Linked DNA regions of Oryctolagus cuniculus. The protein of the gene in region 1 purifies or fractionates together with the protein of each later gene. This does not show direct contact. Links are inferred from orthologs where the notes say so. Each region holds a gene or a part of one and is shown in the gene's direction. Other genes may lie near its edges. The genes, in order: STX18, SNAP29, RINT1, SEC22B, SCFD2, NBAS and SCFD1.

Region 1 (3,873 bases):
TTGAGGCTTCATGAAGCAAGAAGCCTGTTACTGATCTCTGAGGGAGCCCCCTGAAGTGACAGTAACACACACACACAGCCCCTAGGGGGAGTGAGGGAGTAACACACGCACACAGCCCCTAGGGGAGTGAGGGAGTAACACACGCACACAGCCCCTAGGGGGAGTGAGGGAGTAACACACGCACACAGCCCCTAGGGGAGTGAGGGAGTAACACACGCACACAGCCCCTAGGGGGAGTGAGGGAGTAACACACACACACAGCCCCTAGGGGGAGTGAGGGAGTAACACACGCACACAGCCCCTAGGGGAGTGAGGGAGTAACACACGCACACAGCCCCTAGGGGGAGTGAGGGAGTAACACACGCACACAGCCCCTGGGGGGAGTGAGGGAGTAACACACGCACACAGCCCCTAGGGGGGTGAGGGAGTAACACACGCACACAGCCCCTAGGGGGGTGAGGGAGTAACACACGCACACAGCCCCTGGGGGAGTGAGGGAGTAACACGCACACAGCCCCTAGGGGGAGTGAGGGAGTAACACACGCACACAGCCCCTAGGGGGAGTGAGGGAGTAACACACACACACAGCCCCTAGGGGGAGTGAGGGAGTAACACACGCACACAGCCCCTAGGGGGGTGAGGGAGTAACACACGCACACAGCCCCTGGGGGAGTGAGGGAGTAACACACGCACACAGCCCCTGGGGGAGTGAGGGAGTAACACACGCACACAGCCCCTAGGGGGAGTGAGGGAGTAACACACGCACACAGCCCCTAGGGGGAGTGAGGGAGTAACACACGCACACAGCCCCTGGGGGAGTGAGGGAGTAACACACGCACACAGCCCCTGGGGGAGTGAGGGAGTAACACACGCACACAGCCCCTAGGGGGAGTGAGGTTCCCACAAGCACCACTCAGCAGACCAGCTGGGCGAGGAAGGAGATCTTCCACATGCCCCACTGTGCCCTTCAGCTGAGGGCACCTTTGGGAGAAGCCCCGTGCCAAACCCTGCCAAGCTGCTCCCCAGGCCTGACCCCTGGCACCAGGTAGTGAATATGTGTCCCTCCAGGGTCTGAGTCGTGTTAACTGTGCCGCAGGAGCATTAGGAAAGAGTGGTGCGATTGGAGCTCCGGAGCACTCTCTGGGCAATGTAGAGGAGCAGGTCCCAGACGTCCTGGCCTGGAACGCCAGTCTCAGAAAAACCTGACAAAGAAGGCCGTGCATGTGGGTTGTTTGGAAGGGACTTCCTTTTTGGAAATTCAGACGATTTTGGCCTAGACAAAGACTTGTCTAGGGAACACCCACCTGGCGTTGGCGATCTCTCTCAGATCTGCATGACCACAGAAGCCCTCCCGTGTGGTGCGTGGTGATCAGACACGGCTGCGTGGGGCAGGGCCTCAGCCCATGCACTTTGGAGCTGGGTCCTGTCCTGTCCCAGCCCAGCAGGTGCTGTGAAGGCTACCTTAGAGGGAAGTTTTGGAGCCAAATCAATGCAGTGGTATAAAATGCTTAGAAAGTGCCCAGTGCATAGTGCCCTCCAGAAATGCCGGCTGGCATGCGCCATGCTAGCGTACATTCTGCTTGGATCTGTGTGCCTGACAGTCAGAGCTTCTTTACAGGTCTTTTTACACTTTTCTGCCTGTGATTTTCTCGTTATGTTGATTCTAGTAAAGCTATTACAGAGCCCTCCGTTTCATAACCAAATTTTTTTCTCTCTTAGTAGCCGTTTACAGATATTTGTAAAGCACTCAACATACAGCTCGAATGCCAGGGACTCATGCAGGACGCAGGGCTAAGGAGCAGACATGACTTAGGGAGGCAGAGACCTGCTCTCAGTGCGGGCACTCAAGCGAAGGAGGCAGTGAACAGATAACGGGGGGTGACAGACCACGGTCACGGCTGTGGAGAGAACCAGCAGGTGCTGGGGAGAGAGGGGCCCTTCTCAGGTAGCAGTCAGTGGGCGAGCCTGAGCCAAGCCCGCAGCCAGGAGGGAAGACCCAGCACCGCCCCGCAGCAGGAAGAGCCCTGTGGGAGGGCGAGGGCCAGGCGCGGGCAGGAGCTGTGGTTCCCGAGCCAAGCGGGTCTCACTGAGTGGCCATCTGAGGGCTAACACGTCCTTGGGAGCGTCACACACAGCGTGCATGTGGAGATGCACACGTGTTGACAGCACTCCTGCTTGATTGTGCCAGTGTGTGGCTGTAAATCCAGCTTTCTGGACTTGTTGAACCCGGGCCAGTCAGCCTTCACCACCCTGGGCTGAGACAGGGGTCAGTCTGTGGGGCACGGTCAGCACTTAGCCACTGCACCCTCCTCTGAGGTTCGGCGCCACCTGGGCTAGGAGCGCTGAGGGATGCTCAGCCCCGCCCCCGCCCCCACCCCCGCCCCCGCAGGCAGCAGTAGCTGCTCCTGCAAACAGGGCTGTGTCCACTCGGCCCCGGGGCCCAGAACCAGCGACTGCTCCCCAGAGGACATGGAGAGCAGACGCAGGGGCCACGTGGGACTCCCTCTCTGTCAGGAAGCAGGCCTGTTGTGAAGGGAAGGCGGTGACTGCTAATTATTATTTGCAGATCTAAGCTGGAACCAGAACCAAATGTGAAAACAAGAGAAGCCATCTCTTCCGAGAAAGCGTCACCGAATCCTTCAAAGGACTCTGGAGAGAAGCCTGCCTCTGAAGAGTTCCCAGGTACGAGCTGAGACGCACACCTTGGGCCGGCACCGCGGCTCACTAGGCTAATCTTCCGCCTGCGGCACCGGCACCCCGGGTTCTAGTCCCGGTTGGGGCGCTGGTTCTGTCCCGGTTGCTCCTCTTCCATTCCAGCTCTCTGCTGTGGCCTGGGAGGGCAGTGGAGGATGGCCCAAGTGCTTGGGCCCTGCACCCGCATGGGAGACTAAGAGGAGGTGCCTGGCTCCTGGCTTCAGATCAGCGCAGCGTGTGGGCTGTAGCAGCCATTTGGGGGATAAACCAACGGAAGGAAGACCTTTCTCTGTCTCTCTCTCTCACTGTCTAACTCTGCCTGTCAAAAAAAAAAAAAAAAAAAAAAAAGCACACCTTGCCTCGTGACACGTGGGCACCAGGTACAAAGCCGGACACAGCTCATACCTGTATACGCAGCGCTGTCACAGCCTGCAGGAGTCGCCTGTCCACTGGGAACCGGGAGGGGCCCGTGGGAGCTGTGTATTGGCCGGGTGTGGACTGGAGCCTCTGACTCAGGAGGAGAGAGTGGGGCGCTCTGCTCAGGGAGGCCCCGGACCTGTGTCGGGGGGTGAAATGTGAGTCTGGGGTCCCGTGCTTACGTCATCCCCGAGACTACAACAGTTCTGACACACACAGGCTGCCAAGAAATACAGGACTCCACCAAGGCAGCTGTCATGGGCGCCGGAGGCTGTGTGTGCGGCCAGTTCCCCTCCGCCACGTGGGGAGAGCCACCGCAGCTCACCGGCTGAGGCGTGGCCGGGCAGGGTCTGCTCTAGTGGCTCATGGGCGGTGCGCTGGAGCAGGAGAGCTGGGCGTCCTCTCCAGCACCCTCCCCTTAGTGCGCTGTGGCCCTGCTCACTCCTGCCTCCGACCGCGGGATCGGTCCTGCGCGCTCGCACCTTGTCACCGTCCTCACAGCAGCCCCGTGGCCGAGATCCGTGAGCCTCCTTCACAGATGATCCTGCGCAGCCCGGGGGCTGGGCAAGCCGCCTCATTTCAGAGCCCTGAGTGGTGGGCGCGGGGTGTGTGTGGCTCTGTGGATGCCCAGGCTGCCCTCCAGCTAACTGATCTGCGTTTGACAGTGAACTCTGTGCCTCATAGCGTCTTTTAAGATGTATTTGTCTATCTGAAAGGTGGAGTTACAGAGAGGCAGAGGCAGAGAGAGGTCTTCCATCTCCT
Region 2 (3,873 bases), on another chromosome or scaffold:
ATGGCCCAAGTGCTTGGGCCCCTACAACCCAGTGGGAGACCCAGAAGAAGCTCCTGGCCTCAGATCAGCTCAGCTCCAGCCGTTGCAGCCATTTGGAGAGTGACCCAGCCAGATGGAAGTGCTCACTCTCTCTCTAACTATGCCTTTCAAATTAATAATATAAATCTTTTAAGCAAAAAATGATGACGTGCCCTTCACAGGTGACAGCGTCTGCCCCGACATGTGCTTCGCATTTATGGAGTACCCACATGTGGTTCTCATGGGCCAGGGAGAACTACCAGAAGGATAACTGCCACGTGTCTTTCCTAGGAGCTCGTCCGTCAGCGAGGAGTCTTAGAACGCACGGAGAAGATGGTGGACAAGATGGACCAAGATTTGAAGACCAGCCAGAAGCACATCAACAGCATTAAGAGCATGTTCGGGGGCCTTGTCAATTACTTCAAATCCAAACCCGCAGAGGCGGCCCCTGAACAGAATGGCACCGGCACCCCCCAGCCCAACAGCAGGTGAGTGTAGCAGAAGTGGGCTTTGGCGTGAACGGAAGACTTCCAGGCCTTGGCCGAGCCATGAGGGGATTCAGGAAGCCTGTAAGTTATACTTCAGGAGGGTTTTGTGTTAACCCATCTTCCCACGCCTGATTATATGTATTTGATTGGCACCTAGTCTGCAGATTGTGCATAAGTTGGGTTTCCAGTAAATTCCTGCTATACTGATTGTCACCCCAGTACTGAGAGTGTTCACCTCAGAAAGTTAGATCAGGCTGTAAGGGACTCCCTACACAATATCTGTACTTTATTTTTTTAAAAGATTTATTTTATTTATTTAACAGACAGAATTACAGAGAGAGGTAGAGACAGATAGAGAGGTCTTCCATTCGCTGGTTCACTCCCCAGATGGCCACAATGGTCAGAGGTGTGCCAATCCAAAGCCAGGAGCCAGGAGCTTCTTCTGGGTCTCCCACGTGGATTCAGGGACCCAAGCACTTGGGCCATCTTGTACTGCTATCCCAGGCTGTAGCAGAGAGCTGGATCAGAAAAGGAGCAGCCAAGACTAGAACTGGCGCACATGTGGGATGCCGGTGCTTCAGGCCAGGGCTTTAACCCGCTATACTGCAGAGCTGGCCCCAGCAGTATCTGTACTTTAAAAAGTCATTTTTCCCACCCAGGTGTTCTACATATAATTCAATTTGCCCATTGCTTTTCACTTTTTTATTTATTTTCATTTACTTAAAAGATACAGGGGCAGACACTGTGGCACAGCAGGATAAAGCCCCAGACTGCAGCACTGGCATCCCATATGGGCACTGGTTCAAATCCTGACTGCTCCACTTCCAATCCAACTCCCTGCTAATGTGCCTGGGAAAGCAGTAGAAGACGGCCCAAGTCCTTGGGCCCCTGTAGCCACGTGGGAGACCCGAAAGAAGCTCCTGGCTTCGGATTTGCTCAGCTCCAGGCATTGAAGCCATTTGGGAAGTGAACCAGCAGATGAAAATTTCTCTCTGTCTCTCCATAACTCTCTTTCAAATGAATAAAAACAAATATTTTAAAAAATAATACAAAAGGCATAGAGGGATTTTTCCATCCACTGGGTTACTCCCCAAATGCCCACAACAGCCAGGGCTAGACCATGCTGGAGCCATGAGTCAGGAATTCCATACAAATCACCCACAGAGGTGGCAGAGCAATAAGGCCTTGAGCCGTTGTCTGCTGCCACCTGGGAGCCTCAGCAGGAAGCTGGACCTGAAGCAGAGGAGCTGGTCCTCAAACCAGCACTCTGCTGTATCGGGCTGTAGTCTTCCCTGAAGCTGAGTGGGTCTGGGAAGAAAGGAATGTTGGTAAAGAGCCAGTAATGGTAGCAGAGAGAAGAGGTGGGGGAGGCTCCGGGCGTCTGGATCGGACACTGCAGGGAGGAAAGCAGGCCTCTGCAATGCCCTGGGGCTACTCCCGTAGATGCACCAGGGTTGATTTGTCTGGCTTAGGCCCAACCACCACTTCGCGCAGATTTTCCAGCTTGACCCTGATTTTAATTAATTACTTCTGAGATTTATTAATTCATTTATTTGAAAGGCAGAGTTACAAAGAGAGAAAGAGGGAGAGACAGAAGCAGAGATTTTGCATCTGCTGGTTCCCTCCCGAGATGACCATAACAGCCAGGCCTGGGGCAGATTCAAGTCACGAGCCAGGAACTTCATCTGAGTCTCCCACGTGAGTGCAGGGGCCCAATTACCTAGGCCATCTTTGCTGTTTTCCCAGGTGCTTTAGTAGGGAGCTGGATCAGAAGTGGAGGAGCCGGGACTCAAACCAGCACTCATAAGCGATGTCAGCATCACAGGTGACAGCCCTACCTGCTATGCTGCAATGCCGGCCCCGACCCTAACTTTAAATCCCTGTCACTCTTTCTCATAACAGAATTGGGTTTTCCTTTGGCTGCTTTTTTTTTTTTTTTTTTTTTTTTTTTGACAGGCAGAGTAGACAGTGAGAGAGAGAGACAGAGAGAAAGGTCTTCCTTTTTTGCCGTTGGTTCACCCTCCAATGGCCGCCACGGCTGGCGTGCTGCAGCCGGCGCACCGCACTGATCCGATGGCAGGAGCCAGGTACTTATCCTGGTCTCCCATGGGGTGCAGGGCCCAAGTACTTGGGCCATCCTCCACTGCACTCCCTGGCCACAGCAGAGAGCTGGCCTGGAAGAGGGGCAACCGGGACAGAATCCGGCGCCCCGACCGGGACTAGAACCCAGTGTGCCGGCGCCGCTAGGCGGAGGATTAGCCTAGTGAGCCGCGGCGCCGGCCTTCTTTGGCTGCTTTTAATTATAGATGAGTATCCCTCATCAGAAATGCTTGGGACAGAAGTGTTACAGATTTTAGTTTTTTTTGGATTTTGGAATATTTGCATAGACTTTACCAATTGAGCATTCCTAATTCCAAAATGCTCCAAGATCTAAAACTCAGCAGCGCTCAAGAAGTTTCAGATTGGGGGCAGGGCAGGAGTTGTGGCACCGCAGGTTAAGCCACACTTGGGACACCTACATCCGATGATGGAGCACCAGTTCAAGTCCTGGCTGCTCTGCTTCTGATCCAGCTCCCTGCTAATGCTCCTGGGAGGCAGCAGAGATGCAGCGAGTCAAGTACTGGAGTCTGTGCCACCCACCTGGGAGACCCACATAGAGCCTGGCTCCTGACTTCAGCCTGGCTCAGCCCTGATTGTTGGTCGTTTGAGGACTGACCCAACAGATAGAAAATCTCTTCCTCTCCCTCTGCCACTCTACCTTTGCAAATAAATAAATCAATCTTTTTCTAAAAAGGTTTAGGGTTTTGGAGCATTTAGGATTTTAGGTGTTCAGGCTAGGATGCTCAACCTGTGCCACAGGAAAGGTAGGATGTTCATTTAGTTTATTTTTTTTTTAAGATTGATTTATTTATTTGAAAGTCAGAGTTACACAGAGAGGAGAGGCAGAGAGAGAGAGATCTTCCATCCCCTGGTTCACTCCCCAAGATGGCTGCAATGGCTGGAACTGTGTGATACGGAGCCAGAAGCCAGGAGCTTCTTCTGGGTCTCCCCTGTGGGTGCAGGGGCCCAAAGACTTGGGCCGTCTTCTGCTGCTTTCCCAGGCCACAGCAGAGAGCTGGATCAGAAGTGGAGCAGCTGAGTCTCAAACTGGCGCCCATATGGGATGCGGGCACTGCAGATGGCAGCTTCACCCGCTACAGCGTCAGCCCCTCATTTAGTTTAGAATGAGACAGCCTCCCTGCACAAACCCAGGAACTGAGCAAGTCCTTGGAGGAGTAGAAAGCTGGCGAGTTGGTGATTGGACCCATCCTTGTCCCATGTGCCTCTTTACACAGGCTGCTTCCCAGGGATCTTGGAGGCCTCCACA
Region 3 (4,309 bases), on another chromosome or scaffold:
GTGGGTGAAGCCTCCACCAGCAGTACTGGCATCCCCATATCAGGTTGTAGTCCTGGCTGCTGGCTTCCCATCCAGCTCCTTGCTAATATGCCCTGGAAAAGCAGTGGAAGACAGCCGAAGTCCTTGAGCCCCTGCCACCTATGTGGGAAAGCAAAATGGAGTTCCTGCCTCCTGGCTTTGGCCTGATTCTCCCAAGGCTGTGGTAGTCAAAAGGGGAGTAACCTAGCAGATGGAAGATTCTGCTACTCTGCCTTTCAAATAGCTAAATCTTTTTTTTTTTTTTTTTTTTTTTGACAGGCAGAGTGGACAGAGAGAGAGAGACAGAGAGAAAGGTCTTCCTTTGCCGTTGCTTCACCCTCCAATGGCTGCCGCGGCCGGCGTGCTGCGGCCGGCGCACCACGCTGATCCAAAGGCAGGAGCCAGGTACTTATCCTGGTCTCCCATGGGGTGCAGAGCCCAAGCACTTGGGCCATCCTCCACTGCACTCCCTGGCCACAGCAGAGAGCTGGCCTGGAAGAGGGGCAACTGGGACAGAATCCGGCACCCCGACCGGGACTAGAACCCGGTGTGCCGGCGCTGCGAGGCGGAGGATTAGCCTAGTGAGCCACGGCGCCGGCCAATAACTAAATCTTAAAAAAAAAAAAAAAAAAAGTTGCATTTTGATGGAAAAAAGTTTTGAAATCTATGCACACATTAAAAAATACCATTAATTTTCCACGAGTTTTTTTTTTGTTTTTGGAAGATTCCTCCTGGTTTGAGTATATTTAGTTTTATTCTCACTGAATGGCTTCTGTTTTCCTAGGCTTTCTGTTTATTCTTATTCTCCCTCCCCTCCTTTTCTTGTCTATTTCGGTCTTTATGGTACCACTTTACTTGGCAGTTTGTTTCTGAGATTGTCAAATACGGGGGCCCATGCCTTACTTCCCGCTAACTCTTGTTCCTCCTCCTTAGCTGAAGATAGGGCTTATTTAGGGAGTCTGGACTGAGCACGGGGCTTGGTGGGCGCTGAGTCCTCTTCTTCATTCAGCAACCAGAACGCTGACCATCCAGCCAGGACATTGGAGAGTGATCCTTAGGGAACTGACCAGCGGTAAAGATCTAGAGATGGTTACATTCATCGGCAATCCCACAATTAAATAGGCGATAAAATACACCTACCTAGTCACTGCCGCTCACCAAGCGCACTCATTTTCAGAACATCTCGATGTCGTCTGAAGCATAAATGTAAATGATTCACTTTGAATTTATGCCGTGAAAGAAGGAGTACCTTCAAGATCCACAATGAAGAGCTCCAATGCTTAGAGAGAGGGGGTACGGGCCCAGCCTTCTCTGGGCTGCCTTGGGGGCGGGGGCTCTCTTCCTGGGCCGCAGTTCCAACCTCCGGCCTGCAGGGGGAGACGGCGCTCAGAAGGCTGCTCGCGGGAAGGACCGCTCTGGCCAAGAGGAAGGAACCCGAGAGAGGCGAGAGGAAGTCGCGGTGTCACCAAGTCCCTTAGCCGCTGAGGCGCGCTGGTTTCTGTCGCTGACCGGAGCGGGACTCCACCAGCCACGCTGGCTGCGAATGGAGCCGAGGACTCGCGCGGAGGCGGGATGCCCCCGATCGGCGATGCGCCGGGAGCTCCGGTGAGTCGTCTCTGGCGACTCGGGGAGGTGACACAAACCTCCCGGTTGTCTTGGTGAGGTGGCGCTGGAGGCTTGTGAGGGTGGTTCCCGCGGCGCAGGTTCGAGTCCCTCGCGGCATTCCCAGGGGTCGTGGTCCCAGTGAGATGACTGATCTCTCCAGGGAGGTGGCTCCGGTGGCCGGGCGAGGGTGGCACAGACTCCTGGGAGGGGTGGCACCAGGGAGGTAGCCCTTTTTCGAAACCTGTATCCGACCGCCCTGGGACTTTGGGCAGATCCCTGTCGGTTCCTTTGGGAGCCCTGTGTTAAGTTCCATCTGCTCCTTTAACGTCAGTGTTTTTGTCACCTTGTTCTTCCAGTGCTGCCCTGAAAGTGGCGCAGAAACGGAGAGCATCGTGGAGGAGAGCAAGCAGGCTGCATCCGCCGTAGCGCTTTGTGTCCCGGCGTCTCTCCCAAACTCAGCCTTCCAGGGTAGGCGGCAGGGAAAGGCGATCTTAGCCTGTTAGCTTTGAGATGAGCTGTTTCTGCGCACTATGCTTATGTAGTACCAAGTATTAACTGGTCTTATATGTGTATGTTTGTCTACAATTGTATAACACGGGTGCTCTCCAGAAGGGCCAGAGCCGGGAATCGAACCCAGGTATTGCAGCGTAGGACGCAGCTGCTAAACTCCCAGGCTACACACCTACCCTCAAAGGTTTTGTTGCACCACAGGAAACTTTTCATTCCATTTTTCCATGAACTTTTTCAGATACCTATATGTATGTAGTATGTTCTTCCATTATTAACTTTTGTATGTTTTTATAATTCCTTTAATTCCCCAGTCCTTAATGGTGTTGAGTAATTGTTATTCTTTTATTTTAGGTGACATAAATAATGTAGCTCTTGTTGAAAGTGAACATGTCAGTGAAAATATAGATAATAGTGAGCTTTCGGCTTACGTGTCTGCATTCATAGAAAAGGAAGTTGGAAATGACCTTCAGTCTTTGAAGAAACTTGATAAACTCATAGAACAAATGACAAAAAATAAAATACAGTTAGAAGAACAGGCAAGTATAATATATATGCATCTTTATTAATATAAACATAGCTAATATTGTGTATAAAATTGTGAAGGTATAGATTGTGACATTTTAAACTGCTTAATGAGTTTTCTTCCCACTCCCTGCTTAAAAAGTTTTTTTTTGCTCAATAAGCTTTAAGGATTTACAGTGTGCTATGTATTTTATAAACTATATAAAAGGGTTCTTACTGTATGATTTATGTCTTTAAAAACGATAACATTTTCATGGCTTTTTATACAGACTTAGAGACTGCTTTAAAAAAAAAAGATTTATTTATTTACTTAGAAAGAGTTACACAGACAGAGAAAGAGAGGCAGACAGAGAGAGAGAGAGGTCTTCCATCCGCTGGTTCATTCCCCAGATGGCTGCAACGGCTGGAGCTGAGCCGATCCGAAGCCCGGAGCCAGGAGCTTCTTCCAGGTCTTCCATGTGGGTGCAGGGCCCCAAGCACTTAGGCCATCTTCTACTGCTTTCTCAGGCCATAGCAGAGAGTTGGATTGGAAGTGGGCAGCTGGGTCTCCAACTGGCGTCCATATGGGATGCTGGCACTGCAGGTGGTGGCTTTGCCACAGCGCTGGCCCCAGAAACTGCTTTTACAAGTAAATTTATGGTAAACAAAAAAAGTTTAAACACCATCATCCCAAATTTTTATAAATGCACACATAGAGGAGAAACATGAAAAGTGTAACATTATAATGGTTTCTTGTAGGTGGTTGGTTGACAGGTGATTTTTTTTCATTTTATGTTTTATTACATATTACTTAAAAGAATTTTTTAAAAACCCAATGAATGTAATCTTAAACAAGTAAGTCCCTATACTTGCAATAATGTCTTTGTTAAAAGATTGTTATTGTGTAACCACCAAAGTAGGTTAAAGTAAGCTCTGTGGGAAGTGGGTATATTTTCTCCAGGTTGTCAGTCCTCTTGTGTTCTCCCATCCAGTCACCTTGGCCCTCCACATCTTCCTGTCTTTTTACCACATCTACTCCACTGCTAGTTTCAAGATTTTGCTAGGCCCTGATGGCCTTTTCTGTACCTGTAGGCAGGCTGTTGTGAGCCCCGTGGGAGGAGGTCACCCATGCAGGGGGAGGGATGCCACCCAAATGTCCGGTTGCCTTCCTGGCTGAGTCTTCAGCCCCACCTAGTGGTCCTTCCGTAGGAATGTGGGCCCTCTGCTGCTCCCCTCAGCTGTGCTTCCAGATTTTCCCGGAGACACTAGAGCTGGCCATTCTGCCCTTTCCCTTTCCCACACAGAAAATACTGAGGCATCTCGCATGAATCGGTCTCCCCCACATGGCACAAACCTGTTTGTAAACATTTTTACCTCTTAATTCAGTGGAAGCATCAACCTAAAGCTGTCTTTGTGTCTCAGCTCATGCCTGCCACCTTAGCGGACTTAACATCACTCCTCAGCCAGTCCTGTTCCCTCTGCTTATGGACATACGCATGACTTTTTCATACAACCCAAACCAACAAGCAAAACTTTCCTCTCATCTTTCAGTGGGAGCTGGCACTTTCCTTTGACTGTCAGTCTGAAGAGTCATCATGTGTCTGCCTTCACTTTCTGATTTGCCATTCGGTCTTTGACTCCCTGTAATCAGGCTTGTTTCCCTACAGACCACAGA
Region 4 (3,873 bases), on another chromosome or scaffold:
CTTTTGGAATTTACTTCTAATAATGGAAAGATATTGCTTTCTAATTCTAGGGATTTGTAGTTTGAAACTGACTTTGTGATTTAGCCAGCATCACAGGGTTTGGACCATATAGTTGCAGAAGTTTGCATGGTTCTGAATTGTGTTTCAATCTGTTAGAAGTACTTACTGTTTAAAAATGATTTTTGTGTTTCTTTTTTGTTTCTCCAGCTACATTATTGAACAGGGAGTGTGTTATTTGGTTTTGTGTGAGGCTGCCTTTCCTAAGAAGTTGGCTTTTGCCTACCTAGAAGATTTGCACTCAGAATTTGATGAACAGCATGGGAAGAAGGTGCCCACTGTGTCTAGACCTTACTCCTTTATTGAATTTGGTAAGTTTTTGACCCTGACTTGTCAAAAGGAAGCAAACGATATGAAGAAGCCATTTGTTACACTAACACAATATTGATGCATTTTTTTAAAATTTATTTATTTGAGAGATAGAGTTACAGACAGTGAGAGGGAGAGACAGAAAGAAAGGTCTTCCATCCGCTGGTTCACTCCCCAAATGGCCACAACAGCCGGAGCTGCTCTGATCTGAAGCCAGGAACCAGGAGCTTCTTCCGGGTCTCCCACGCAGTTGCAGGGACCCAAGGACTTGGACCATTCTCTACTGATTTCCCAGGCCAAAGCAGAGAGCTGGATGGGAAGAGGAGCAGCTGGGACTAGAACCGGCACCTATATGGGATACCGGCACTGCAGGCGAGGGCATTAACCAGCTGTGGCACAGCACCGGCCCCCCTGTATATTAACATTGGGGTTCATTTTGTGGAGATCAGAATGCAGAAATCAGAAAGAATTATATTTTGCTTTTTACAGTAGAATAAGATCCTCTATTCAAAAAAAAAAACAAAACAAAACCCAGAAGATGGTGATGTCTGTTGTTCTCTCTAGGTTTCTTCTGCCTTTTAAATTAACAAGAAAAAAAAAAGGACTCATCACCAATAATACCTGGGTCAAGTAACTGATGGCAATAGATCACAGAAAATGTCTTAACTGTACTAAGTACAGGGAGTGAGAACAAGTAGGATCAGGCTACATCACAGAAAATTTTAGTTAAAAAAGAAATTAGTTATACTCCCTGACGTGTTTCAGGTTTGTTAGTATATGGATCATTTGCTTTTCAGAAAGAGAAAATTTAGCAAAGTATTCTAGTTTTCTATAACTAAATTTTCCAAGTGCTAATTTATATTGTGTTCAGTTTTTCAAATTTTATTTTTTAGGTAATAATATAGTCCAGTAAAGCGAAGAAAAAAATTAGACAAATGCCCGAGGGAGATTGTAAGTGGTATATGCCAGTGACCATAAGGGAACTATATACAGAGATAAGAATGGGCTGTAGGGGATAGGGCCGGCACCGTGGCTCACTTGGTTAATCCGCACCTGGCTCCTGGCTTTGGATCGGTGCAGTGCCGGCCGTGGCGGCCATTTGGGGAATGAACCAATGGAAGAAAGACCTTTCTTTCTGTCTCTCTCTCTTACTGTCTAGCTCTATCTGTCAAATTAAAAAAAAAAAAAAAAAAAAAAAGAATGGGCTGTAGGGGAATCCCAAGGTACCATGCACCTGTGGTTGTATTATCCGTAGACCTGAAGTTATAAGGGGAAGAACCAAATTCAGAAACTGAGGAGGAGAAAATTTACAGAGAAGGCCAGTTCGAGGGAAGCAGTAACTTTTGGCTTTGCCAGCCCAAAGTCACTTCTTAGGGAGGAGCCAGGAGCTCACTGTCTGCTCTCCTCCTTCCGTGCTGTTGGGACTTCCTCACTGTCTCTGAACCTAACTGAAGGCTAAGGGTGAGGAGCCCATTCAGGTCAGTTTCCCAGAAAGCAAAGTGGAAAAGAGTGGAGAGGAGATCTAAAGAGGCGGATAAAAGGTGCCCAGCCAGGCCAGCGCTGCCGTGCAGTGGGTTAAGCCATGACCTGCAGTGCCGGATTCCTGTTTGGGCGCTGGTTTGAGTCATGGCTGTTCTGCTTCTGGTCCTGCTCCCTGCTAATGTGCCTGGGAACAAACCAGGAAATGAACCCAAGCATTCCAATATGGAATGCAGGTGTCCCAACTGGCATTTTTTTTTTTTTTCCAGGCAGAGTTAGAGAGAGAGAGACAGAGAGAGACTTACAGACAGTGAGAGAGAGACAGAGAGAAAGGTCTTCTTTCCGTTGGTTCACTCCCCTAATGGCTGCTACGGCCGGTGCTGTGCCGGTCTGAAGCCAGGAGCCAGGTGCTTCCTCCCAGTCTCCCATGGTGGTGCAGGGCCCAAGCACTTGGGCCATCCTCCACTGCACTCCTGGGCCACAGCAGAGAGCTGGACTGGAAGAGGAGCATCTGGGACTAGAACCCGGCACCCCAACCGGGACTAGAACTCAGGGTGCCAGCGCTGCAGGCGGAGGATTAGCCAAGTGAGCCACAGCGCCGGCCCAACTGGCATCTTAACCACTAGGCCGAATGATTGTCCTGCTTCTCACCTTTTTGGATGCTTATAAACTCGTTTACCATATTAAGTTCAAATAATACTAGAGTGTTAGCAACCTTTCAGGGAAAGTGTAGAATTAAATAATGAAGCCCTAAGTATTCTCCAAATATAGTTTGAAAATTTCTGCTTGCAAGAAAGGCTTACTGTATTGGGTCTTAATTTTTTCTTTTTCTTTTTTTAGATTTTTTAAATTTATTTGAAAGACAGAGTTACAGAGAGAGGTAATGACAGAGAGAGAGGTCTTCCATCCACTGGTTCACTCCTCAGATGGCTACAATGGCCAGAGCTGCGCAGATCCGAAGCCAGGATCCAGGAGCTTCCTCCGGGTCTCACACGCGGGTACATGGGCCTGAGGACTTGGGCCATCTTCTACTGCTTTCCTAGGCCACAGCAGAGTGCTCGCTTCGGCAGTACATATACTAGGCCACACCAGAGATCTGGATCGGAAGAGGAGCAGCCGGACTAGAACTGGCACCCATATGGGATGCCGGCACTTCAGGCCAGGGCTTTAACCTGCTGTTCCACAGCGCCGGGCCCATGGGTCTTAATTTTTCTGAGAATTCTGATAGCAGATACTTTGAATTCATAGTGTCCAAAGGACATTTTTTTCTGAATGGTCACCTGGTTCTATCTTTACATGGTACAAATGAGGAAGTTAAAGTCCAGATTTTGAGGTAGGTGTTGCAATGCAACAGCTTTAGCCACCACGTGGGATGCCCACATCCCATATTGGAATGCCTGGTTCAAGTTCTGGCTGCTTCACTTCCTATTCAGCTACCTGCTGCCTGGGAAAGCACTGGATGATAGCCCAAGTACTTGGAGCCTTGCCCTTGTGTGCAAGACCCAGATGGAGTTCTGGACTCTTAGCTTTGGTCTGACTGAGTCCAGTGGTTGCAGGCTTTTGAGGACTGAAAGAGCAGATAGAAGGTGTCTCTGTCTCTGTCTCTTTTTCCCTCTCTCTGTCAATGTGTTTTACAGATAAACAAATACATAAAGACATCCTCTATCTGTCTTCCTATCTTTAATGATAAGGGGGGAAAAAAGTCAAGATTTTGATATTTCCCAGAGTTTGGTTAGCCATAGACAATGGCAGATCCAGAAATAAACTCAGAACATCCAGTTCTCTACTTCAGCACTTTGCTATACATGAGAGAAATTGTTAATGGTAACTTTCATCATCAATCTAGATACCTTCATTCAGAAAACCAAGAAGCTGTACATTGACAGTCGTGCTCGGAGAAACCTAGGCTCCATCAACACTGAATTGCAAGATGTGCAGAGGATCATGGTGGCCAATATTGAAGAAGTATTACAACGAGGAGAAGCACTCTCAGGTATCTAAGATTAAGATGAATCTTACAAAGAGGTA
Region 5 (3,873 bases), on another chromosome or scaffold:
CGTTCCTGCTCCAGGGGCCCGGGCCAAGGCCCTCTCCACGCAGCACCCTCGGGGCCTCGGCGCCGGCTCACAGGCCACCCCGTGGGACGTGCGGGGACCGGGAGTAGCAGCCGAGCAACTGGCCGAGTCGCCGTTCCTCTCGAACTCAGCTTTGGCTGAGCCTCACCTGGCGCCAGTGATGGGTCCGTGGTCGGCCCAGCCTGGTTCAGAGCCCCGTGTCCGGACCGGTTCACCACGGCCAGGGGCTGCCACGTGCACAGGGGAGACTGCTGTCTTTGGGGTGCACCACCGCCTACCGCGGGCTCTGCGGCAGGGCTGGGGGAAGCTTTTGGTGGAAATGACGGGTTTCGTGTGAGACCCCTGCACGGGGAGAGGTGCACACACCGCGGAGGTCACGGAGTGCGGCTGCTCGTTCACACATGAAACGGGACCCTGGGGCTGTGCTGTTTCAGGACAGGGTCTGATCAGAGGAAAGCGTCCCAGCATGCACCTCTGCCGATGCAATCAGCGAGGCCTGGATGTCGCCTGCAGCGCTATTTATAGCCACTGTTGCTGTTTCCCTTGGTGCTGCCAGGTGGGGTTCACTCTGTGTCTGGCATTCATTAAGTCCGCCCCGCGGTTCTGGTGGGAGGGGCTTTGGTGCAGAGGGTCAAACAGAAACAGAGCCTGGCTTTGGCGGTCTGTCATTTGCGTGGTGGTGAACGGTGCCCACGGCTTGCCAGGGAGCGGGATGGAGGGCCGCAGGGAGGGGCCAGGGAGGAGGGGCTGGACTCACCAGACCGGGAGGAGTTGGAGCAGGGTGAGGGGAACAGGGGCCAGGCGGCCATCAGGGTGGCAGGGAAGGTGGGGAGGGCGGAGGCAGCGAGGGCAGGGGGGCGGTCCCCGGGCACACAGAGAGCAGGCGAGGCAGTAATGAGAGGAGGTCATCACTTGGTCGGGGGTGCAGGGCGTCCACGCTTGTCTGGATGGACAAGAAGGAACTTGCCGTTGAGGCTGGTTGAGCTGAGGGACCCGTGACCACACCCACACAGGGCCTGTGTGGCGTGTGCGGGCCATTGAGCTGTGGAGGGGTCGGCGTCCATGGTCCAGGGCAGCCATGGAGCGAGTGGTGGGCGGGGCATCACAGCAGGACACAGGTGCATGGCAGGGCGTCCTGGCAGCCGGGCACCCCCGCCGTGTGACCGGGCGGTGTGACGGGGTGGGCGCGCCCCCGGAGGAGCCGGCGGCGCTCGGCTGCTGCTCGCAGAGAACCGAGCGCTCACAGTTTTCAGAGACGGGCGCTGGTGCAGATGTTGCAAGAGTTCATTTCCTGATGGCAGCGTGCAGACCGTCAGGTGGCCCCGGCCAGGCTCTGCCGAGAGACCCGGGCTCCAGCGCCGGCCTACAGCTCTGCAGCCCAGGGACTTCGGACAGCCGCGTCAGCCCCGAGCCTCCATGTCTGTCCCTGTGAGGCGAGGCTGCCCCTACCTGCTGATAGATTCCGAGCACTGGACGCTGGCCCCCTCCCCGCCCCAGCAGGAGTTCCCACACATGGCTTACAGCAGCAGTGACTTCCTGTGGTCCTCCCCGCCTGCTCCGTCCACTGCTGAGTCCCTGGCCCCCAGGAACTGCGCTGCAAGTTATCGGTCGACAGCGTGAATGGATCAGAAGCACAGCCGTCGACTGGAAGCGATCAGTGGCAGGGAAGTGCCCGTCCTGGTGCCCGTGGGAGCAGCAGGGACCCTTCCCTCCAAATCCAGGTGACAGATTCCACCAGGGCCTCCGGGCACTCTCATGGGAGCCCACGCCCACGCCCACGGAGAGGGTCCCGCACCTCTGCCAAGCTGGGATGGGACGGAGGAGACACTAATGCAGTGAATGTTCTCAGCAAAGCCCTGGGAGACCGGGAGAGCGAGGCCCCGACTCGCTGTCTGTGACAGCCCTGATGCGAGTCGTCTGCAGTGCCCGTCACCCGGGCCTGCCTAAGGTGGGCTCAGCCACGCAGGAAGGAACCTGGATTTCCCACAGAAAAGACTGGGTGTTGCACTCGCGACTTCACACGCCCTCGGGGCCACAGAGCCGACCCCAGAAGGCATTCCTGGGGCCCCGCTGCCCTCAGCCACGGGCCTGGCGCTGGTTGCTGCTGTGTGTTTGTCTCTCTCCCGCCTTTCCATCGGCCAGCCCGGCCCTCCAAGGCTGGGAGTGTAGTTGGGCTGCAGACTCCTTCGGGAAACGTGTGTCTTTGGGAGCGCACTGCGCCATGCACCATGGGGAGCCGGTTGCGGTCCTGTCCCAGCTCTCGGTGAGAAGCAGCAGTGGCGTGCAGGGCTGGCCGGCTTCTGGGGCCATCCCTCAGCCAGGAGAGTCGCGTGAAGCCGACAGAGTCTCCCAGACGCCCCTGCGAGGGGAAGGCTGGTTTCCTGTCGACCCGGGACCTGCCTCACTCCATTCTGTCTTGTTCTCACCCCACTTCCTGAAAAGCTGCCTCCTGCCCGGCACTGAGATCGGCATGGAGAACAGCAAGAGAAGTCTGCCCTGCCCGCGCCCTCCGGGAGCTGCCCAGGGCAGCAGGCCCCTCTGCAAGGCCAGGGCTGAGGAGGGCGGGAGCCAGGCGGGGCGCAGGAGCTCGAGGTGCTTGGCAGAAGGGGTCAGCAGAGGCCCCGACTCGCCACGTCCGGGGACACGTGGGGGGCACTTTGCAAAGGTGGGACGGAGGACGCCCGAGGTGCCACGTGACTCGACCTCAGTGTGATGGCAGGGCGGAGACCAGAGCCCACTGGTGTGCCCCTGCCAATGCCTGCTAGACAGCAAGATGGTGGCGACCTTGAAACAGGGAGAGGGCTCCACAGGGCCGGTTTCCTGTCCCCTGACCTGCGGCTGGTGGCTCGGGTTTGTGCTCTTTGGGAAAATGAGTCTGCATGCTTGTGACAGATGCATGTTTCGATGCGTATCTCCAAGGAAACGCAAGCGGAAAAAAAAGCGAATCTGGCACGTGAGCGTGGCATGATCGTCTGCAACAGTGCGGGGTGGGGTGGAGGGAGAGTGGATTGCTAACGATGGCCCCTGTCGGGGTCACCTGCATTGGGCGGGAGGCTCCCTGGGGCCCCCCGGTGCCATGTCACGGGCTGCCGCGGCCACACCTATGCCATCTTTCTGATGCTGGCGTGTTTGGTTTTGCAGGTGAGCCGGCCCCATCCCAGTGACCATCCCCTGCTGATCCTCTTCGTGGTGGGCGGGGTCACAGTCTCCGAAGCCAAAATGGTCAAAGACCTCGTGGCATCACTGAAGCCCGGGAGCCAGGTACTGAGCTCGTGACGATGTGTGCAGGAATCCAGAGGCCAGGGGCGGCTGTGGGGAGGGTGGGCCAAGGCCCTTCGCCCAGGGCCCCAGCGCTCCTCTCCCAGCCTGCGCCCCCTCCACCCGCGGCTGTCCGGTCACCTTCTCCCTGTTCCTGGCTCTCAGGCCCAGCCTGGCACCCCTGGAGACCCCTTGCCCACCGTGAGAGGGGACTGGATTGTCGGTGTCCATCCTGACAGGCCGAATTCGCTGGCGCTAAGCAGAGGAGCCCTGAGTAGAAGTCATTGCTGGCAAAGTGGATTGGGCGGGGTCCTTTCTCCTGCCCGGTGCACACTCTGTGCTGTCCAGTCAGCACTAAGTACCCAAGGGACCTGCAGCTCTCCAGGCCTCTGGTCCCTGACAGGTGACCCTGGGGAGAGGGCAGCGGCGGGGGTTGGAGCGGGCCGTTGTCCAGGTCCCGACTGCTCCCCTGTGCCACCCGCCAGGCCCCCTCCCATCCCCCAGGCAGGAAGCTGGCCCTGGGGTCGCTGCTGCTGGCTTCTCAGGCCTGAGTTCCGTCCTGCCTGCCACTGCCTTTGACCCGCCAGAGATCAGGGG
Region 6 (4,662 bases), about 180 Mb from region 1:
TGGGGCAGCAAAGAAGTACTATGTGCAGTGTTTGGATTCTGAGCCTCTTATCCGTGTGTTCTCTCACTGGCCTGTGGCATGCTGGTGTGCACTCTGTTCTCTGCTGAAGGCTTGGGTGCAACGAGGCTTCATTTCTCCTGGGCAAACTAAAATAGCAACACAGACACTAACTCAGATGCCTCACACGTGCATGTTTGGGTGTGTGGGTGTGGGTGTGCATCTGTGAGTGCAGGAGGAGGCGGCAGTACCGAGGGAAAGAACACACACTTCGCTGTTCTCCATTCACTCTTGTATTTGCCCCTCGAAGCCTGTTGTTCCTAGCCTGTGGTAAGACGATCCCATTTCTCTGGTACATAGTGTGAGCTTTTTTGGAATCTTTAGTTTTGATCAAAAAGAAGAAAAATGGAGACAACTGGACTCTGACACGGTCACTTGCAAACTGGCACTGTTTGCCCTCATTACACAGTTGCACCCACATTCATATTCAGAGCCAAAGGAGGCTTCAGATCCCTTACCTCATGTGCTAGCTTTGTAGGCTGCCTTAGCACCGTGCACACACCTGGTGGCTAGACACCCCATTCTGGTCGTGGAGGATTTGGGTGAGCTGAGGCGGCCAGGTCTCTGCTCTTGAGGAGACCACGTTCTGGGGGAGCAAACCCTGAGCAAGTCAAGTAGTGAGAGGCGAGGCTCCTGACATAGCCACATGGCATTCCATGGGTGACTTTGATCTCATCGAGAAACTGTCTGAAAGCTTGGCCAGGATGTGCCCTGCAAAGCCCTGGAAAATGGGAGGTGAGCAGCAGACACTTAGGGAGGGCAGGGCTCTGTGGGATGGCCATTCTTGTGTTCCTGGAACAAAGCACGCAGAACTCCTGGGCGGTGCCAATGGGGAGTACTGAAAGCTCTGTGCCTCTTTAATCGGGAAAGCTGGAATTTTGCATCAGTTGCTATTTTTCCCACCTAGTTTTTAAAACAAAACAAAATTGAGTTCAGCAAAGTGTCTTCCTGGGACCGAAGTAGGTGAGTTGCGTATGCCTGTGTCCATAGAAAGAAGACTCTGAGGGAGGCTGGGAGCCACCTCAGTTCAGGACAGGTCTAGCTCTGTTCCTATTCTCTGCAGTGACACAGCCATCATCGTGTACTTGTGCCATTTACCAAAACGTGACAAAGTTTAATAATGTAGGTTGTCGCTCCCCCTCTTCATGGAGGAACGACACAGGACCCTGTGCTGTTCTTTCGTCTGCTCGGCCCTCCCCGGGTTTGCTGCTGGTTCTTCCCGGGTTGGCTACTATCCCTTCCACCTCCGTGGAAGGGCAGTTCCCCCTGGCCACATTCCCCACTTCTGCAGGGGAGCGGCACACCGCCGGCCGGCTTTCTCGGGGGCTGCACAGGTGTTCCTTCAGCTAGATGTTCCCCTTAGGTGTTCCTGGTGCATGCCGTCTCTCTCCTCCTTTATAGTCCTCCTCTGCCAATCCTAACTCGGCTGCCCACACGCCGAGTACGCTGCTCTCCTCCAATCAGGAGCAAGTCCTACAGTTTATTAGCTGAACTGGAGGCAGCTGTGTAGAAGCTGTTTACTTCTCTCCCAGCGCCATATTGTGGGAGAGCAGATGCATAGAATAAGTCTTAATTCCAGTAACTCAGTCCAGTCCGGATTGCTCCCCACATAGGTTCGTTCAGCCATGTAACAAATGGTGACTAAACTGGATGCTGAAATAGAGAAATGATAAGTTTCGTTTCCTTCAGATTCTCTTAGTCTGACAGAGGAGAGAGAGATAAAATCACTACAGTACTGCCTGAAGAGACATCCATTGGGCTCGTTACACATGCGTACTCTTGAGACTGATGGAAGGCGGTATCAGTTTGGCCAGGAGGATTAACAATGTCACCAAGAAGATGGCATTGAAAGCCGATGTTTCTGTTGGGTTTTGAATGATTCCTGGATTGTAGGAATTATACTATCTGCAAGTCAGAAGTAACTTTGGAAAAAAAATTATTTGAGAGAGAAATCTCCCATCCATTGACTGAATCCACTGCCCCAGGGCTGGGACAGGCTGCAACCAAGAGCCAGGGCTTCAATTCAGGTTCCCCACATCGATCTGACTACTTGAGCTGTCACCTCCTGCCTCCCGGAGACACATTAGTGGGAAGCTGGAGTTGGGAACAGACCCAGTTCTTGAACCAGACATTCTGATGGGATGCGGGCATCTCAACAACATCTTAACTGCTATCCCTGCCCCATGAGTAGTAACTTTTATTCTCAGTACTTCTGCTTAAATTATTTTTTTAAACATTTATTTTATTTGCAGTGCAGAGTTACAAAGAGAAAAGGAGATAGAGGGAGATATCTTGCATCTATTAGTTTACTTCCCAAATGGCTGCATTGGCTGGGGGTGGGCCAGACCAAAACCAGGATCCTAGAACTCCATTCAGGTATCCCATGTGGGTGGCAGGAGCTCAACTACTTGGGCCATCCTCTGCTGCTTTCTCAGGTGCATTAGCAGGGAGTAGGATCAAAAGTGGAGCAGCCAGTACTTGAACTGACACTCATGTGGGATGCTGGCATTGCAAGTAGCATTCCAACCAGCTGTGCTACAACACCAGGCCCTTCTGTTTAAATTCTTGCAGCCAAAAACACAATTGGCCTTCTCATCTTTGCCAGAGAACAGGCGGGAAGAGAGCATCATGTACAATTGTAAGGTATCACTGGTCTAAACATTAATTAGCTTTGAAATGCCACATTATTTCTAAGGTTCCTACAATCAAATTATTAAAAATACATAGTGACATTAGGAAGAGCCTGTCATGAAGCAGTTTTGTCACAACTCAATGTAGATGAGAAGCTCTGAATTTTGGTATGAGTATTGACTTGATTTCTTACAAAAACATGGACAATTTTATAAAATAAAAAATCTAAATAAGATATCCAAACCATGGAAAAGCACACATAGACATGAAGATAAGACCAGGGAGAAGGAAAGAATAGAGGATATGCAAGCTAAAGGAGCCTATAAAGGCTTTTTAAAGTCGTGCAGTTGGTGCTGAGCCTCAGAGAGAGAGAGTGGGACAAGACCAGCGCAAGCCCACTGTTGCTACTCCTATTATGTAACTGAGTTGCAGGACACATTCTTTTCTCAGTGGATTAGAATAAAGGTTGTCTTATTTTGGAAAGAATTTTGTTTCATGTGGATCTACATTCAAGAGAGATTTGGGGTTAAAGAATATAGACCACAGTGAAATGACAAATGACGTGGCAATGTGGTGGTTACGAGTACTGGCTTTTCAGTCAAGACTGACCCAAACTCAGATTCTGGCCCAACAATTTATGACTTCAGTGTTCAACCAGATTCTCACACCTTGGCTTCCTTACGGTAGAACTGAGAGGTAAAGGAGCCGGTTTCACAGGCTTGAGTTGGGAAGGCATGAGTCATACCTGTACAGTGTTTAGCACCACCGTGTCTGGAGCTGAGTATCTGGTAGCTGTAGCGGTGATCCAAACAGGCTTCTTGGTACATGGCTTGTCACCTAATGTCCAGAGGAAACCTTGTCTGTCCTGCATGTCTGTGACCCCAGAGATGCTCACACCTTACATCCACTTTTTGGAGCAGATGCTTTTAAACCTGGACAGAAGTGTGTTTGATGATGGAGAGGAAAAGGCAACACATCGCAGCCCAGTAGACAGTGATGAGTCTGGGGGAGAGGAGGCTAAGCAGATGCCCTCTGATGTTTTGCCTGTCTTATTCCTTAAAGGTGAATGATTCAAACTGTGACCAAGAACTACTTTCCCTGCTCCTGGATGCCAAACTGATGGTGAAGTGCATCTCCACTCCCTTCTATCCGCACATCATTGACCACCTCTTGGCCAGTCTGCAGCAAGGGCGCTGGGATGCAGAGGAGCTGGCCAGACACCTGCAGGAGGCCGGCCATCAAGCCGAAGCCGGGTCACTGCTTCTGGCCGTGAGGGGGACTCATCCAGCCTTGAGAACTTTCAGCGTGGCCCTCAGTGCCGGACAGCACTGGGTGTGAGCCGCGCATGTTCCTGGGAGGAAAAGCGCGTCTGGAGCTGAACGCTGCTCCCAGAAGCAACGTGTCTACCTGCTGACTGTTCTCGGTGGTTCCAACAAACTGCAATAAAGCTGTACGTAAATGATGAGCAGACTCATTTTTTCAACTTTGGATTTCTCATATACTGACAGGTTAACATGCTTCCTTATTGACTGGCTCTTTTGTTCCTGTGTTGCTTTTCTTTTAAAATACCCTTTCTGGATAGAATTCAATTAATAAACTGTCAAATACTGCAGTTTAGAAGATTGGGTGGTGGTGGGTAGGACTGGGTGAGAAAGGGAGAATGTGTGATGGCTGGTGGTTGTGCAGGTGCCCTTAGGTGGAGGAAGGACAGACTTGGATTCGAGTCTCAAGTTACCTCTGTGATCTTGGGCAAATTATCCCACCCCCCTCTGAACCTTAGACTATGGTGTATAAAAGTAAGGGTGTATTATTCATCTCACAAAGTGGTTGAATGTTTTGTCAGGTTGTGTGTGTGAGGTTCTGTTAGATTCACAACAGGGACCCAAAAAATCTGAATTCTCTTCCTCCTTGCTAGTGTCCCAGTGTGTGAATTTTGGTAAGGCCACAAGTGATCAGTACCAACAGGTGAAACCT
Region 7 (4,446 bases), on another chromosome or scaffold:
TTTTATATTAATATGACTCCAGTGGCCTTGAGATGGAGTCTGTGATGGAACCAACGTGGTTAGATAGAAGACAGGCATTTGAATATGCCAAATTAAAGACTGACCTCTCAGATGTTGGAAGGAGGAAAGGCTGTATATTTTACATTCCATGGAGTCCACAGAAGAAAACAGAACTTTTCCATAGGCAGGAACTCACATTTCTGTTGAATTAAAACACACCTAGATGATTCACAATGTCTTTTAAATAGTATTAACACTAAAACCGATACATATCTTAGTTAATTTGTTAATGACTATGCCAATTGGAAATAATCAGATAATGTAGATTCAATACTAACTTAAAAGTAGGGTAACTTGTTTTAAATGTCATATAAATAAGTAACTTATTTGTGAAGCAGATGTTTAGTGTTTCATCACAGAGTATAAATAACGTTTTTTTCTGTTAGGATAATATAATTTTGAAAGTTAAATTTTTGAGGCATAGTGATTTTGGAATTTGATGCAACTTCAGAATTAACGTTCGACAGCTGATGCTATGTCATCAATGAATTCTACTGAACATGGGAAATGTCAATGCATCCGTTTTTGACACCCAATAAAATCTAGGGGTCATAGCAATCCATATTGAATACATTTTGTGATCACATGGCTTCAAGTGTGCATTCAAAAGCTTGTACCACAATTCGTATCCCACCCTCCACCTCAAGGTAATGTTTTGTGAGTTTGCAATTACTGAAAGCAAAGATGAGAGTTTGCTGTGGTTTTGTTTGTTTGTTCTGTCTCTTCCCGGCTCCTGTGCCTATGGAGGCAAATCTCCACCACACTGGTAGGCCATTTTATCTAAAAGAAGAGATTGAGAAAACTGCCAAATTAGAGCCATGCTCCAAAACTTGCTGAAAAAGGAAAGGGAAGATTGCTGCTGCTACACCCGGAAACGAGAAAGCTAACGTTTAGGTCTACTTTGTTTCAGAAGCTTCTTTTACTTTAGTCCATCCTGCGATCATCACGCCCATACCTATACGCTAGATTGTTACCACAAGGTAAAACCTCTTCAAAGGACGAGGCTGACTCGAGTATTTAAGCACTACACCACGCTCCTACCCTGAGCTCAGTTTAGAGTAGATATCATTTGAGAGCATACGGCTTGGTTAGGTTAGAAATTCCTACTATTCTGCAGCTGGAGAGTAAAACCAGTGAATTCAAGCGCTAATCAACGCTGGAAATGCAAAGTTTAAGTACAGAGTGGTGGCGTGGGAGCGTGGCCCGGAAGAGGCGGGGTCCCGCCGGCAGCACCGCCTTTCGTCCCGCCCCTCCGGGCTCTGCTTCCGGGGCGTTAGGGGTGGCCACGTCATCCTCGGGATCCGCTTGCCAGCCGAGCGGTGGATGGTGGGAGGCAAGATGGCGGCGGCGTCAGCGTCCAGTATTCGGGAGCGGCAGACAGGTACTGACTCCGTTCTCCCCGCAGTTTCATGCGTGCGCGGGGTCGTCTTGTGCATGTACCCTTATTCGGTCGTGGCGCGTGCTGCAGAGACTGGTCACTAGGAGTTTAAACCAGCAAACCAGAGCATCCAGAGCTCCTCCCCTTCGAGTTTTGGGGAAAGCTGGCATTAGCCGGAGCACCCAGTGCTTCACCTGTGCAGCAGGGGACGGGGCTTCAGGACTGGAGCCGTTGCTCTTGTCACAGTGCTGCGCTTGCCACCTTCCTTCTGGACCTCGAGAGGCTAGACAAGATCTAGCAACTGATGTTTTCTTTGCTGTGTTGCCAGCTTTGAAGTGTCTGGGTTTGTGTGCGTGGTTCATTCCTCAGTCTTACTATTGAAGGCGCTCCAGTGGCGCTTCCAGCGCAAGGAAAGAGTTCAGGTATTCCTTTAAGAGCGGCTTACTTTGTGTGACTTCTCTCCTGTGGGCCAGTCTTTTGGGAATACCTGAGGAAAACTTCCTGGGGATAAAGATTTCCTTCAGCTTGCGGAGAGGTCGAAGAATGGGAAAGCAAATGCATAGTTCTCCCACTGTAGTTGTTTGACAGGTTAGTGTTTTAAAACAATGTATTACTGGTTTTCTCTTCAATACTGCATGTTTATATAACTTCCATTTATGCAGTGAGGTGTGGTAAGGAAAAGACTATCTATTCCTGCGTTTTGATTTTCTCTTAATCTTAGATATTTTTAGTTTTGTTACTTGTAAAGTTTTGATGGTAACTTAGCATACACCGGTTAGCTACAAGCTAATGTTTTGCACCTGTTAGCTAATTGTCTTGAAAATTGTCACGCTCTGAGGCGCTTATAGAAACCAGCCATCAAGAATGCTCTCCCGGCTAGCTGGAGTTTCAGCTGCTCCATTTCTGACTCAGCTTCCTGTTAACAAGCATCCTGGGAGGCAGGAGTACATAGCTGAGTGCTGGGACCCTTTGCACCTGCAGGGAGACAGGGATGGAGTTCAGGCTCCTGGCTTTAGCCTAGCTGTTGGAAGCATTTGGGGAATAAACCAGCAGATGAAAGATACACGTGTGTGTGTTCGTGTTCAAGTAGATGAAAATACATAAGTATTTTTAAAAGAATGTGCATACTTGGAAAGTGTGGCTCCTGAGATCATTAATAGGACCTACAGAGGGATTTGGCTTGCACTTCATTCCTTTGTCATTTAAAAGAAAAACTGATTGACTTAAGTAAGGAATTGTGTTACATGCTTTTCCCAGCATATAATTTTAGTAGGACCTATCTGATGAGGTCAAGCATAACTTAAATGTAGGAATGTCCAGATAAGACTTGAGAAATAGCTGTTAATTGTTTTCTCTCTGTAAACAAATAGAGATCCACTTATCATTATGATCCTGATAGCTTAAGAAAGCTAAATAAACTCATATTACATATTAAAGAAACAATGTGTCAGTGAGACTACCAATATGATAATTTTTGAAGCTTTTGTATAGCATTGCATTTTTGTGTACAGAAATTCTGTGAAATATTAGAATCTAATACTAAAGATTGGATTTCTACAAAAATAAACTTCACTACAGCAAGATTTAGGTCATGCTAGATCAGTTACTCATCAAATGAGTACTATAACTGACATCTCATTTTCAGGAGAAGGGAAATCTCTGTATGTGTTATGGTGTCAGAAGTAAACATTTGTTTGCCTATTTAGAATGTTTTGGGCCGGCGCCGCAGCTCACTTGGCTAATCCTCTGCCTGCGGCACCCGCACACCGGGTTCTAGTCCCGGTTGGGGCACCGGATTCTGTCCCGGTTGCTCCTCTTCCAGGCCAGCTCTCTGCTGTGGCCCGGGAGGGCAGTGGAGGATGGCCCAAGTCCTTGGGCCCTGCACCCGAATGGGAGTCCAGGAGGAGGCACCTGGCTCCCAGCTTCGGCTCGACAGTACACCGGCCGTAGCGGCCGTTTGTGGGGTGAACCAACGGAAGGAAGACCTTTCTCTCTGTCTCTCTCTCTCTCTCTCACTGTCTAACTGCCTGTCAAAAAAAAAAAAAAAAATTGGCAAATAAGTCACATGATGTATTCTAGAAATGAGATAAATTGATAACAAAGGAATTTGCAATCAATTTGAGTAAATGAGAGCATAACTGATGTATGTTGAGCATTTAGTATTAATTGAGAACTGCTGGTTCACAGCCACAGTGGCTGCTTCTGAGCCGGGCTAAAGCCAGGAGGCTGGAACCCAATCCAGGTCTTCCTCGAGTGTGGCAGGGACCCAACAACTTGAGCCATCACCTGCTACTGCTCAGGGTGTGCGTTAGCAGGAGGCTGGAATTAGTAGTAGAGCCAGGTCTCGGACCCAGGCACCATGGACACATGTCCAAACAGGTGTCTCAACTACCTCTCAGCATTTACTGTTGCCAGGTACTATGTTTGATGATTTTATATGTATTGTTTCTGTTTTACAGATGAGGAAGCCAAGGTACAGAGAGGTTGGCTAGCATACTTGTTTCTGGCTCTACCTTCTTGAACAATCTTTATTGATGTTTTAAAATCACCTATTCCAAAGCCATCTCCTTTGTGAAAGCTTCAGGATCACTCCCTTTTCTCTCTTCAAGTTCAGCAGGCAGAATCAGTTGTTTCCTCCTGTGTTACTGTTGCAGGTTCTTGCTTATCTCTCCCAGCTCTCAGCGTTGCAGAACCCCAAACTGTTTGGCCTTCTCTGCTGTAGTGATTTCATCTAGCCCCTTCACTTTAAGTACTGTATGTGCCAGTGATTGCTGAGTTTCTCTCTCTAGTCTGGACCTGTCTTTTGAATTCTATGTACCCCATATTCATGTCAACAGCTATTATTGACTGAACATTAGGTGCTTACATTTTACCAAACAACAGTATGTCGCGTCCCTCGACCAGCAAGGAAGACACGACCCGAACTCTTCTTCCAGCAGTTTATTCAGGAACCTTGAACAAGCTGCTTCTTCCGCCTCCTTTCCTCTCCCATCCCTCTTATAGCCATC

What was found.
Region 2: the proteins of STX18 (region 1) and SNAP29 purify together in Homo sapiens (affinity purification with mass spectrometry; 3 studies listed by BioGRID and IntAct, counting the BioPlex papers as one, with this or other methods). This does not show direct contact. The link is inferred for Oryctolagus cuniculus from reciprocal best matches to the Homo sapiens genes STX18 and SNAP29.
Region 3: the proteins of STX18 (region 1) and RINT1 purify together in Homo sapiens (co-immunoprecipitation; 6 studies listed by BioGRID and IntAct, counting the BioPlex papers as one, with this or other methods). This does not show direct contact. The link is inferred for Oryctolagus cuniculus from reciprocal best matches to the Homo sapiens genes STX18 and RINT1.
Region 4: the proteins of STX18 (region 1) and SEC22B purify together in Homo sapiens (affinity purification with mass spectrometry; 5 studies listed by BioGRID and IntAct, counting the BioPlex papers as one, with this or other methods). This does not show direct contact. The link is inferred for Oryctolagus cuniculus from reciprocal best matches to the Homo sapiens genes STX18 and SEC22B.
Region 5: the proteins of STX18 (region 1) and SCFD2 purify together in Homo sapiens (co-immunoprecipitation; 3 studies listed by BioGRID and IntAct, counting the BioPlex papers as one, with this or other methods). This does not show direct contact. The link is inferred for Oryctolagus cuniculus from reciprocal best matches to the Homo sapiens genes STX18 and SCFD2.
Region 6: the proteins of STX18 (region 1) and NBAS purify together in Homo sapiens (co-immunoprecipitation; 5 studies listed by BioGRID and IntAct, counting the BioPlex papers as one, with this or other methods). This does not show direct contact. The link is inferred for Oryctolagus cuniculus from reciprocal best matches to the Homo sapiens genes STX18 and NBAS.
Region 7: the proteins of STX18 (region 1) and SCFD1 purify together in Homo sapiens (affinity purification with mass spectrometry; 5 studies listed by BioGRID and IntAct, counting the BioPlex papers as one, with this or other methods). This does not show direct contact. The link is inferred for Oryctolagus cuniculus from reciprocal best matches to the Homo sapiens genes STX18 and SCFD1.

What each region holds. Positions count from the first base shown.
Region 1 is NC_091433.1:4,725,374-4,729,246, forward strand, and holds part of STX18 (syntaxin-18), read left to right. Parts: intron 1-2,566; coding exon 2,567-2,682; intron 2,683-3,873. UniProt on the Homo sapiens protein: Syntaxin that may be involved in targeting and fusion of Golgi-derived retrograde transport vesicles with the ER.
Region 2 is NC_091452.1:29,626,558-29,630,430, forward strand, and holds part of SNAP29 (synaptosomal-associated protein 29), read left to right. Parts: intron 1-309; coding exon 310-506; intron 507-3,873. UniProt on the Homo sapiens protein: SNAREs, soluble N-ethylmaleimide-sensitive factor-attachment protein receptors, are essential proteins for fusion of cellular membranes.
Region 3 is NC_091434.1:138,816,984-138,821,292, reverse strand, and holds the start of RINT1 (RAD50-interacting protein 1), read left to right. Parts: upstream 1-1,430; 5' UTR 1,431-1,590; coding exon 1,591-1,623; intron 1,624-1,979; coding exon 1,980-2,091; intron 2,092-2,484; coding exon 2,485-2,669; intron 2,670-4,309. UniProt on the Homo sapiens protein: Involved in regulation of membrane traffic between the Golgi and the endoplasmic reticulum (ER); the function is proposed to depend on its association in the NRZ complex which is believed to play a role in SNARE assembly at the ER.
Region 4 is NC_091438.1:50,431,605-50,435,477, reverse strand, and holds part of SEC22B (vesicle-trafficking protein SEC22b), read left to right. Parts: intron 1-207; coding exon 208-368; intron 369-3,691; coding exon 3,692-3,838; intron 3,839-3,873. UniProt on the Homo sapiens protein: SNARE involved in targeting and fusion of ER-derived transport vesicles with the Golgi complex as well as Golgi-derived retrograde transport vesicles with the ER.
Region 5 is NC_091439.1:110,848,777-110,852,649, forward strand, and holds part of SCFD2 (sec1 family domain-containing protein 2), read left to right. Parts: intron 1-3,159; coding exon 3,160-3,279; intron 3,280-3,873. UniProt on the Homo sapiens protein: May be involved in protein transport.
Region 6 is NC_091433.1:187,576,973-187,581,634, forward strand, and holds the end of NBAS (NBAS subunit of NRZ tethering complex), read left to right. Parts: intron 1-3,750; coding exon 3,751-4,026; 3' UTR 4,027-4,150; downstream 4,151-4,662. UniProt on the Homo sapiens protein: Involved in Golgi-to-endoplasmic reticulum (ER) retrograde transport; the function is proposed to depend on its association in the NRZ complex which is believed to play a role in SNARE assembly at the ER. Required for normal embryonic development.
Region 7 is NC_091443.1:44,680,954-44,685,399, reverse strand, and holds the start of SCFD1 (sec1 family domain-containing protein 1), read left to right. Parts: upstream 1-1,306; 5' UTR 1,307-1,383; coding exon 1,384-1,441; intron 1,442-4,446. UniProt on the Homo sapiens protein: Plays a role in SNARE-pin assembly and Golgi-to-ER retrograde transport via its interaction with COG4. Involved in vesicular transport between the endoplasmic reticulum and the Golgi.